Canis lupus familiaris: one gene and its partner. The protein of the gene in region 1 interacts with the protein of each later gene in a pairwise test. Links are inferred from orthologs where the notes say so. Each region holds a gene or a part of one and is shown on either strand. Other genes may lie near its edges.

What was found. The genes of interacting proteins can lie anywhere in the genome.
Region 2: the proteins of PAK2 (region 1) and RHOJ interact in binary tests that used the Homo sapiens proteins (3 or more experiments, as listed by UniProt). The two-hybrid records come from large-scale screens. The link is inferred for Canis lupus familiaris from reciprocal best matches to the Homo sapiens genes PAK2 and RHOJ.

What each region holds. Positions count from the first base shown.
Region 1 is NC_049254.1:30,553,446-30,557,094, forward strand, and holds part of PAK2 (serine/threonine-protein kinase PAK 2), read left to right. Parts: intron 1-1,437; coding exon 1,438-1,634; intron 1,635-3,649. UniProt on the Homo sapiens protein: Serine/threonine protein kinase that plays a role in a variety of different signaling pathways including cytoskeleton regulation, cell motility, cell cycle progression, apoptosis or proliferation.
Region 2 is NC_049229.1:38,078,542-38,082,290, forward strand, and holds the start of RHOJ (rho-related GTP-binding protein RhoJ), read left to right. Parts: upstream 1-1,384; 5' UTR 1,385-1,476; coding exon 1,477-1,654; intron 1,655-3,749.

The DNA of each region.
Region 1 (3,649 bases):
GTAAGCTGAATTAGACTTCTTTGGATAATATTTTATCCTTGCTCTTGCAAGGATACATACTAGATGAATGGTCTCGGGTAAGTTATCTAACAATGTGTGTGCCTTGGTTTCCCAATTTGTAAAATGAGAGCAATACTAATAAATGTACCTGTTGGAGTCATCGTGAGGGTTAGTTATCTTACTTCCTACAAGGTACTTGAAACAGTACCTGGTTTGTTACAAGTACTCATTTTAGCCATAAATATTATGATTTGACTAAACAGTTGTTCTTTTAGTATTCTCTGGGGTAGAATTAATGAACACATGCACAATAATAAATACAAAGTTGTTCTCTTCAATATTGTAAACAACAAAAAATACTTTAAATGTCTAGCAGTATGGGAATGGTAAACTATAATTTTGTTATTTTGTAATATTGTGTAGTTATAGTAATGAGGTAGATCAATGTACAAAGGTGGAAAAATCTCTAAAAATTAATTTTAAGAGACAATTTACTAGAGCACCTGGCTGGCTCAGTTGGTTGAGCATGTGACTCTTGATCTCAGTGGTGAGTTCAAGCCCCAGGTTGGGAGTAGAGTTTACTTTAAGGAAAAAAAAAAAAAAAAAAAAACAGTTTACAAAGTATCCTAACTAGGTTAAATAAACCATGCAGTTCACAGGTAATATTTGTACCTATATAAATTTACAATGAAAAGTTCAAAGCTTAAAAACCTAAATGTTAACAGTGGTTACATTTGAAATAGAATGGGTCTGTAGAAGGGAGGAAAAAATTCAAGATTTTCATCCCAGCATTTCCACTAGGTAGGTTAACAATGAGTGCTAACATAGGCTTTCTGCTCCTGTTATAAAATGAGGTGGTTGGAGTAGAGTAATGTTGCGGAGGACCTTGTTAGTTACAGTTGCAGTTAAAGCTGTTCTTTTTCTAAGAAGTCAGATACTTAGTAATTCTAGCTTTTGTTTATTTTCTTCAAAAATAGTTCCCACTTCCTGGCCTTTTTACCTATCTTACAAAAATTAGTTTTGGTGTTCACCTTTTGGTAACTTTCTCTTCTAGATCTTTTCAACTTTATTAAAATTTTTAGGATAATTGTTTAGAATAAAAGACCTTCTCATAATTTGTCCTTTGCTTGTGGGAAATAAAAGTAAATAAGTCAGAGTAGGTAACATCATCAAAATATTTGTGAACCCATTCTGGTTTACTTTTTTTTTTTTAATGTAAGCTCTAAGCCTGTTGTGAGGCTTGAACTCACAACCCCGAGATCAAGAGTCACATGCTCTGTGGAATCTTCAATAGCCAGGTGCCCCTATTTTACTTTTTTAATACAATCTTAAAAAAGAAGAGGCTGAGTAGTCAAATGTAATTAATTCTTAAATGAAACTGTCCATGAACATCATTGACCCTAGATATGTTTTGTTTTGTTTTGTTTTGTTTTATAGCTGACTTTGGGTTCTGTGCCCAGATCACCCCTGAGCAGAGCAAGAGAAGTACCATGGTTGGAACGCCATACTGGATGGCACCAGAGGTGGTTACACGGAAAGCTTATGGCCCTAAAGTGGACATATGGTCTCTGGGTATCATGGCTATTGAGATGATAGAAGGAGAGCCGCCATACCTCAATGAAAATCCCTTGAGGGTAAGACCAATTAAACACCACCAGCCTTATTTTTGGAAAAATTCATTTCTTTAGAACATTTATTGATTTATCTATTTTTTAAAAGATTTTATGTATTTATTCATGACAGACACAGAGAGAGAGAGGCAGAGAAACAGGCAGAGGGAGAAGCAGGCTCCATGCAGGGAGCCTGACGTGGGACTCAGTCCCGGACCTCCAGGATCACACCCCTGGCTGGAGGCGGCGGTAAACCGCTGGGCCACCAGGGCTGCCCCAGAACATTTATTTAGAATCTGATTGTGCCAGACACTGGGCAAAAATTTAGGATACAAAGTTGATATAACCTGGTCTCTACATCTAAAAATTATTTGCTTCTGGGTTATTGAGTTGAATGTGTTAGGTAAAAAGTTTGTAGAATCTTAGTAAGCTGTATGGTTTTAAATTTTACACTTAAGCAAGAATTTGCTCACTTTTCTACAAAGAATCTCTAAGTGTATTCTTCAGATTGTCAGCTTTGAACCTTGGCCTCTATACTGTCAGGTATACAGAAGAGGAAAAGAAGATCACATCTATGAGAAAGCTGTGTAGAGGGCAGCCCGGGTGGCTCAGCGGTTTAGCGCTGCCTTCCGCCCAGGGCGCGATCCTGGATACCGAAGATCGAGTCCCACGTAGGGCTTCCTGCATGGAGCCTGCTTCTCCCTCTCCCTCTGCCTGTGTCTCTGCCTCTCTCTTTCTCTCATGAATAAATAAATAAAATCTTTAAAAAAAAAAAAAAAGAAAGAAAGCTGTGTAGAAGGCAATGTTAAAGCTCACATTCAAACAAAAGAGTCAGGGCCCTGAGTTACATACAGATGGGGTTAGTAGACTACAAAATTAGATATTTCAGCAATGGAGGTAGAGAGATTAGGAGTTTGTTCTTTTCTTTTTCTTTGTCTTTTTTTTCTTAAGATATTTTTAAGAGAGAGAGAGCACGAGTAGGGGAGGGGAGAGCTAGAGGGAGAAGCCCCAATGCAAGGCTCTATCCCAAAACCCTGGGATCATGACTTGAGCCGAAGGCAGATGCCTAACTAACTGAGCCACCCAGGTGTCCCCTGTCTGTCTTTTGCTTGCTTGCTTGCTTGCTTTTTCCCTTCTATGTCTACTTTTATTTTATTTATTTATTTTTTAAGATTTATTTATTCATGAGAGATACAGAGAGAAAGGCAGAGACATAGGCAGAGGGAGAAGCAGGCTCCCTGCGGGGAGCTTGATGTGGAACTCGATCAGGGATTCTAGGATCACGCCCTGAGCTGAAGGCAGATGCTCAACCGCTGAGCCACCCAGGTGTCCCCTGTGTCTACTATATGACTCAGGATCATTAGTTATTAAAGAAATGCAAATCAAAACCCCAACGAGCTACTGCTTCATACCTTCAAGAATGACTGTAATAAAAAAGATGGATAATAATAACTGATAGAGAATGTGAAGGGACGCCTGTGTGACTCAGCGGTTGAGCGTCTGCCTTTGGCTCAGGGCGTGATCCTGGGGTTCCGGGATTGAGTCCCCTATAGGCTCCCCAGAGGGAGCCTGCTTCTCCTTCTGCATATGTCTCTGCCTCTCTCTCAGTGTCTTTCATGAATAAATAAATAAAGTCTTTTTTTAAAAAAAAAAGGAGGGAATCCCTGGATGGCTCAGTGGTTTAGTGCCTGCCTTCAGCCCAAGGCATGGTCCTGGGGTCCCTGGATCGAGCCCCACGTCGGGCTCCCTGCATGAAGCCTGCTTCTCCCTCTGCCTGTGTCTCTGCCTCTCTCTCTGTGTGTCTCTCATGAATAAATAAATAAAATCTTTTAAAAAAAAAGAAAGAAAGAAGAGAGAGAGAGAGAGAGAGAGAAAGAAAGAAAGAAAAAGAAAGAAGACAAGAAACCCACAATAAATAAGACGAGCAAATACAGACCCCCCCTCACCAATCCCAGACAAGACCCGCGCAGCTGCACTCCATCCCGCACCATCACATCCCCGCAACCCACCCGACACAAGTACAAGAAAATAACAGATTT
Region 2 (3,749 bases), on another chromosome or scaffold:
GAAAAATAAATGCTCATGAATCTCAAATTAACAGAGATTCCCCCCATCAAAAAAGTACTTGATCCATTTGTCAAAATCATTTGCAGAGTTCCACATCTCCTCTAAGACCAAGTACATTAATCAAACACAGGGCTTCAAGGGGGCTTCATTTTGAGCAACCCAATGGACAAATAAATTAGCTGCCAATGGCTCTTTTGTAATGGAAGAGGACCAGGCTGACCCAAGGAGACAGGAGTAAATCACGAAGGAAACTGTCCACGCAAAAGCAGCATTTTGGGGACCTGAAGGAAACCAAGGAAGCCATCCTGCGTACTCTCGTTTCCAAGAGCGTAAGCCAAGCACATGTGTGTTTATTCGCTAATAAGAAGCTGCAAATGTCCCGTGTCTGGCTGATTTCTTATGTGCTACAACCATACAGATGTTTATGTCTGGGTACACGTCTGAGTGTTGTGCTCAAATGCGGCAGCTCATAAACTTGATCACGCATATTATACCTATGATCTGTAAGAGTGTTTCCCTTCGACACGGTGTATTTCTGGAAGGTTTTCTTCTCTCTCGCCTGGATGGATTTCCTGAGGTCCCTCATTGAAATATGGGCAGAACTGTCCATTTCTACTTTGCAGAGCTTTTCGCTGGTGACTCAGTGAGGGATGATGTCATATGTTATCCTGCACCGGGCTGGTGTGGTTCCCTCTGCTCCCCTAAACCATTCCCTCTGTGTCTGGGGCGGACAGCACTCCCCTGTCGTCAGCTTCTTCCCAGCCAGCCCCAGGCAAACAGCCTCCCCAGCAGCAGATGAAACAGGAAGTCTGACAGCTTGAGTCTGCAGTGGGACCCCTAGTGTTTTCCCACTCCCTGCCCTGGCAGCGTTCCCCACAAGTACAAACACACGCACACAGAGCTCCCATTGTTGCAGCCTTCCCCAGCCCACTGATCCTAATATGGAATGCAGCAGGAAACCCATGATTTCCTGACACTCGCAAGCTGGAGGAAGCAAGGGGGAAACTCCATTAAAAAGCCCAGCTTCCCTCCATGTTAGATGCGAAGGGGGAAAGGGGGAAAGGGGGAAAGGGGGCAAGGCTGAGCAGGATCCCAACGTGCCCTCGGCCGGCCGGCGGGCGGGGGGAGCGCAGGGGGAAGCGCAGGCGGTTGGCATTCCTAGACGGCCAGCAAGCCCCCAGAACTCCGAGAGGATGGGGGCTTCTTAGCTCAAACTAGAGGGGAGCAGGGACAGAGGCTTTGGAGCGTTCTCCCAAACGTGCGCTGCCCTTCCTGACCAGTATGGTAAGCGCGAGGGCACGTGCCAGCCGCCCGGGCCAGGTCCGCGCCATCCCAGGCTCGCGAGGCGAGGCAGAGTGACCCGGAGCCCGCCCGCCGCCCGCCGCCCGCCGCCCGCCGCCCGCCGCGCTCCAGGGGCTTCGGGAGCAGCCGGAGGACCCAGGCGGCTGCACGGTCCCCGCAGCTGGAGCCGCCGGGATGCACTGCCCGGAGGGAGGCGACCGCAGCTGCGGCTGCAGTGGCACCGAGGACAAGAAGATGCTGAAGTGTGTGGTGGTGGGGGACGGCGCCGTGGGGAAGACCTGCCTGCTGATGAGCTACGCCAACGACGCCTTCCCAGAGGAGTACGTGCCCACGGTGTTTGACCACTATGCAGGTAAGGAAAGGTGGAGAGCCGGTCCCTGCGTCGGGGGCGGGGGGCACCGTGCGGGCGGCCACACCCCAACTCACAGGGGCCTGCTTGATTTCTAAGAGCAGGCAGTGTGGGGTGCGGGCCGGCAGTGGCCAGGTCCCGGAGCGGAACACACAGCCAAGGTCTTTGCTGGAACTATTAGGACAATTCCTACATCGATTGGCATCCTAACACTCCTCCCCCCGCCCCCCCTAAACCCTTAAATCGGATGACTAACACTGGGGAAATACCCTGGACCTGCTCTCCAGGCATTGGCGCCAGAGATTTCACTCCATGTGCGCCTGGAGATTGCTAACTTTTTACGCAAACGTTCTAAAATGTAGTGTGATTGCAACACACTTTTTTTTTTTACCAAAAAAAAAAAAAAAATCACCACTAACCACACAACTAGGGAAAGAAGTTTGCCACTTTTCATATATGTACCCCATGCCATTCATAAATGAAATGGTAAGATGAACAAACATTAGAACACTCATTTTTCTGTAACGATCGGTGGCTGTACTATTGTACTTTTTTATTTTCCTGGGGCTGTAGATGGGGGGGGGGCGGTTGGAGGGAGGAATACGAAATATTGGAGGGAGGAATACGAAAAGGTTTTAAGTGTCCATTAGGCAGTATGTATCTTGAATTAAAAGGAACATTTTTAATTAGTACGTTTTTAAGGTAAAACATAAAAATAACATTTGAATCATTTTATTTTTTTTATTTGAATCATTTTAAAGTATGTCCAGAAAGGATGAAATTGGACATAAAATATTTTAAGGCGTGACAGTTAAAATAAGGTAGCCACCACAACTTAATCTTTTCAGTTGCTTTTGTTTTCTGAGTGTTCTAAAGTTTGTAGGTGTTCTTATCAATGGGATAGCTTATCTCAATTTTTCCATGTTGATTCTTACTTTTTCTCTTCATTTCCAAAGCAAATATTGTTCTTCAAAAGCAAGTTCATGAAATTCTTCAAGTTTACAGTAGCCTAACTTTATAGGTTTTTTTTTTTTTTTTCAACAAAATAATCAGCTTCGGTGAGTTATCAGAGATTTGAGACTTCATAAAAGGAAATTCTCCCTTCCTTCACCTTGGCTTTGGGTCAGGTTCAGCAAAGGGGAAGTGGCCCACAGGAAACCTGTGTGAATGTTGGCTTTGCTATGTGGCCATTTGAAATCCTCTCTGTTAGGAAGTAGCTTCTTTTCCAGAGCTAAACAATCACCTAAGTCTCCTCCTTCTCCTACCGTTACAAGATTTATGACAATATTACATAGCAGATTGGGAGAGTACCACAGTGAAAATAGTATCTACTTCCCAGAAGGTTGTTTTATATTTGTAAAAATTAAGAGCAAATTTTAAGGCTGGCTCCCTTAAGCTTTTCTGAAAATATAATGACTGCGCCCAGAGAAGAATATTTTAATGAAAACAGAATAAAAAGAAAAACAAACCAAAACCAAAAAAAAAAAAAAAAAAAAAAAGCCTAATAAGATTAAAAGTAAGTAAGTAACTAAGTAAGTTACCAAAATACTTGACATGGAAACATCTTACCAAATTATTTATTCCACATCCTCTTTTCTGCTAGGAAAGGAAAACTGGCTGGTACCTAATTTCAAAAACTTTGAAAAAAAAAAAAAAACTTTTAGATCGGGGGCGGGGCAGGGGGGGCAAAGTCTGCTAAAGGAAAAGACCTCAAGTCCTTTTGAAAATGATGTATCCTGATCCCCATCTATTGGTCCAACCAATTATCAGTCTATATAAAGAAAGTCTCTCAGAAAGAAAGAGGATAAAACCATCTTTAGAGATAAAGTCAGCCTATAAAAAAATTTTTCGAGATCGAGCAAAGGCTGGACTACCCCTGGATTCCACAAAGATGAAATTATTTTATATTTCAATTGTCTATATACTTACTGTTATTTGTGCGTCAAAGCATCTTAAAGATTTTGGCTGCTCTATGATTTTACCTCTCAAGAAACTGCAGCCACTTTACCCAAAGCCATACATTGCACATAGTAGGCATTTCCCAACACTGTTGCTTTGATTTACACTTTGTACCTTTTTAAGTACACAATCATCCCAG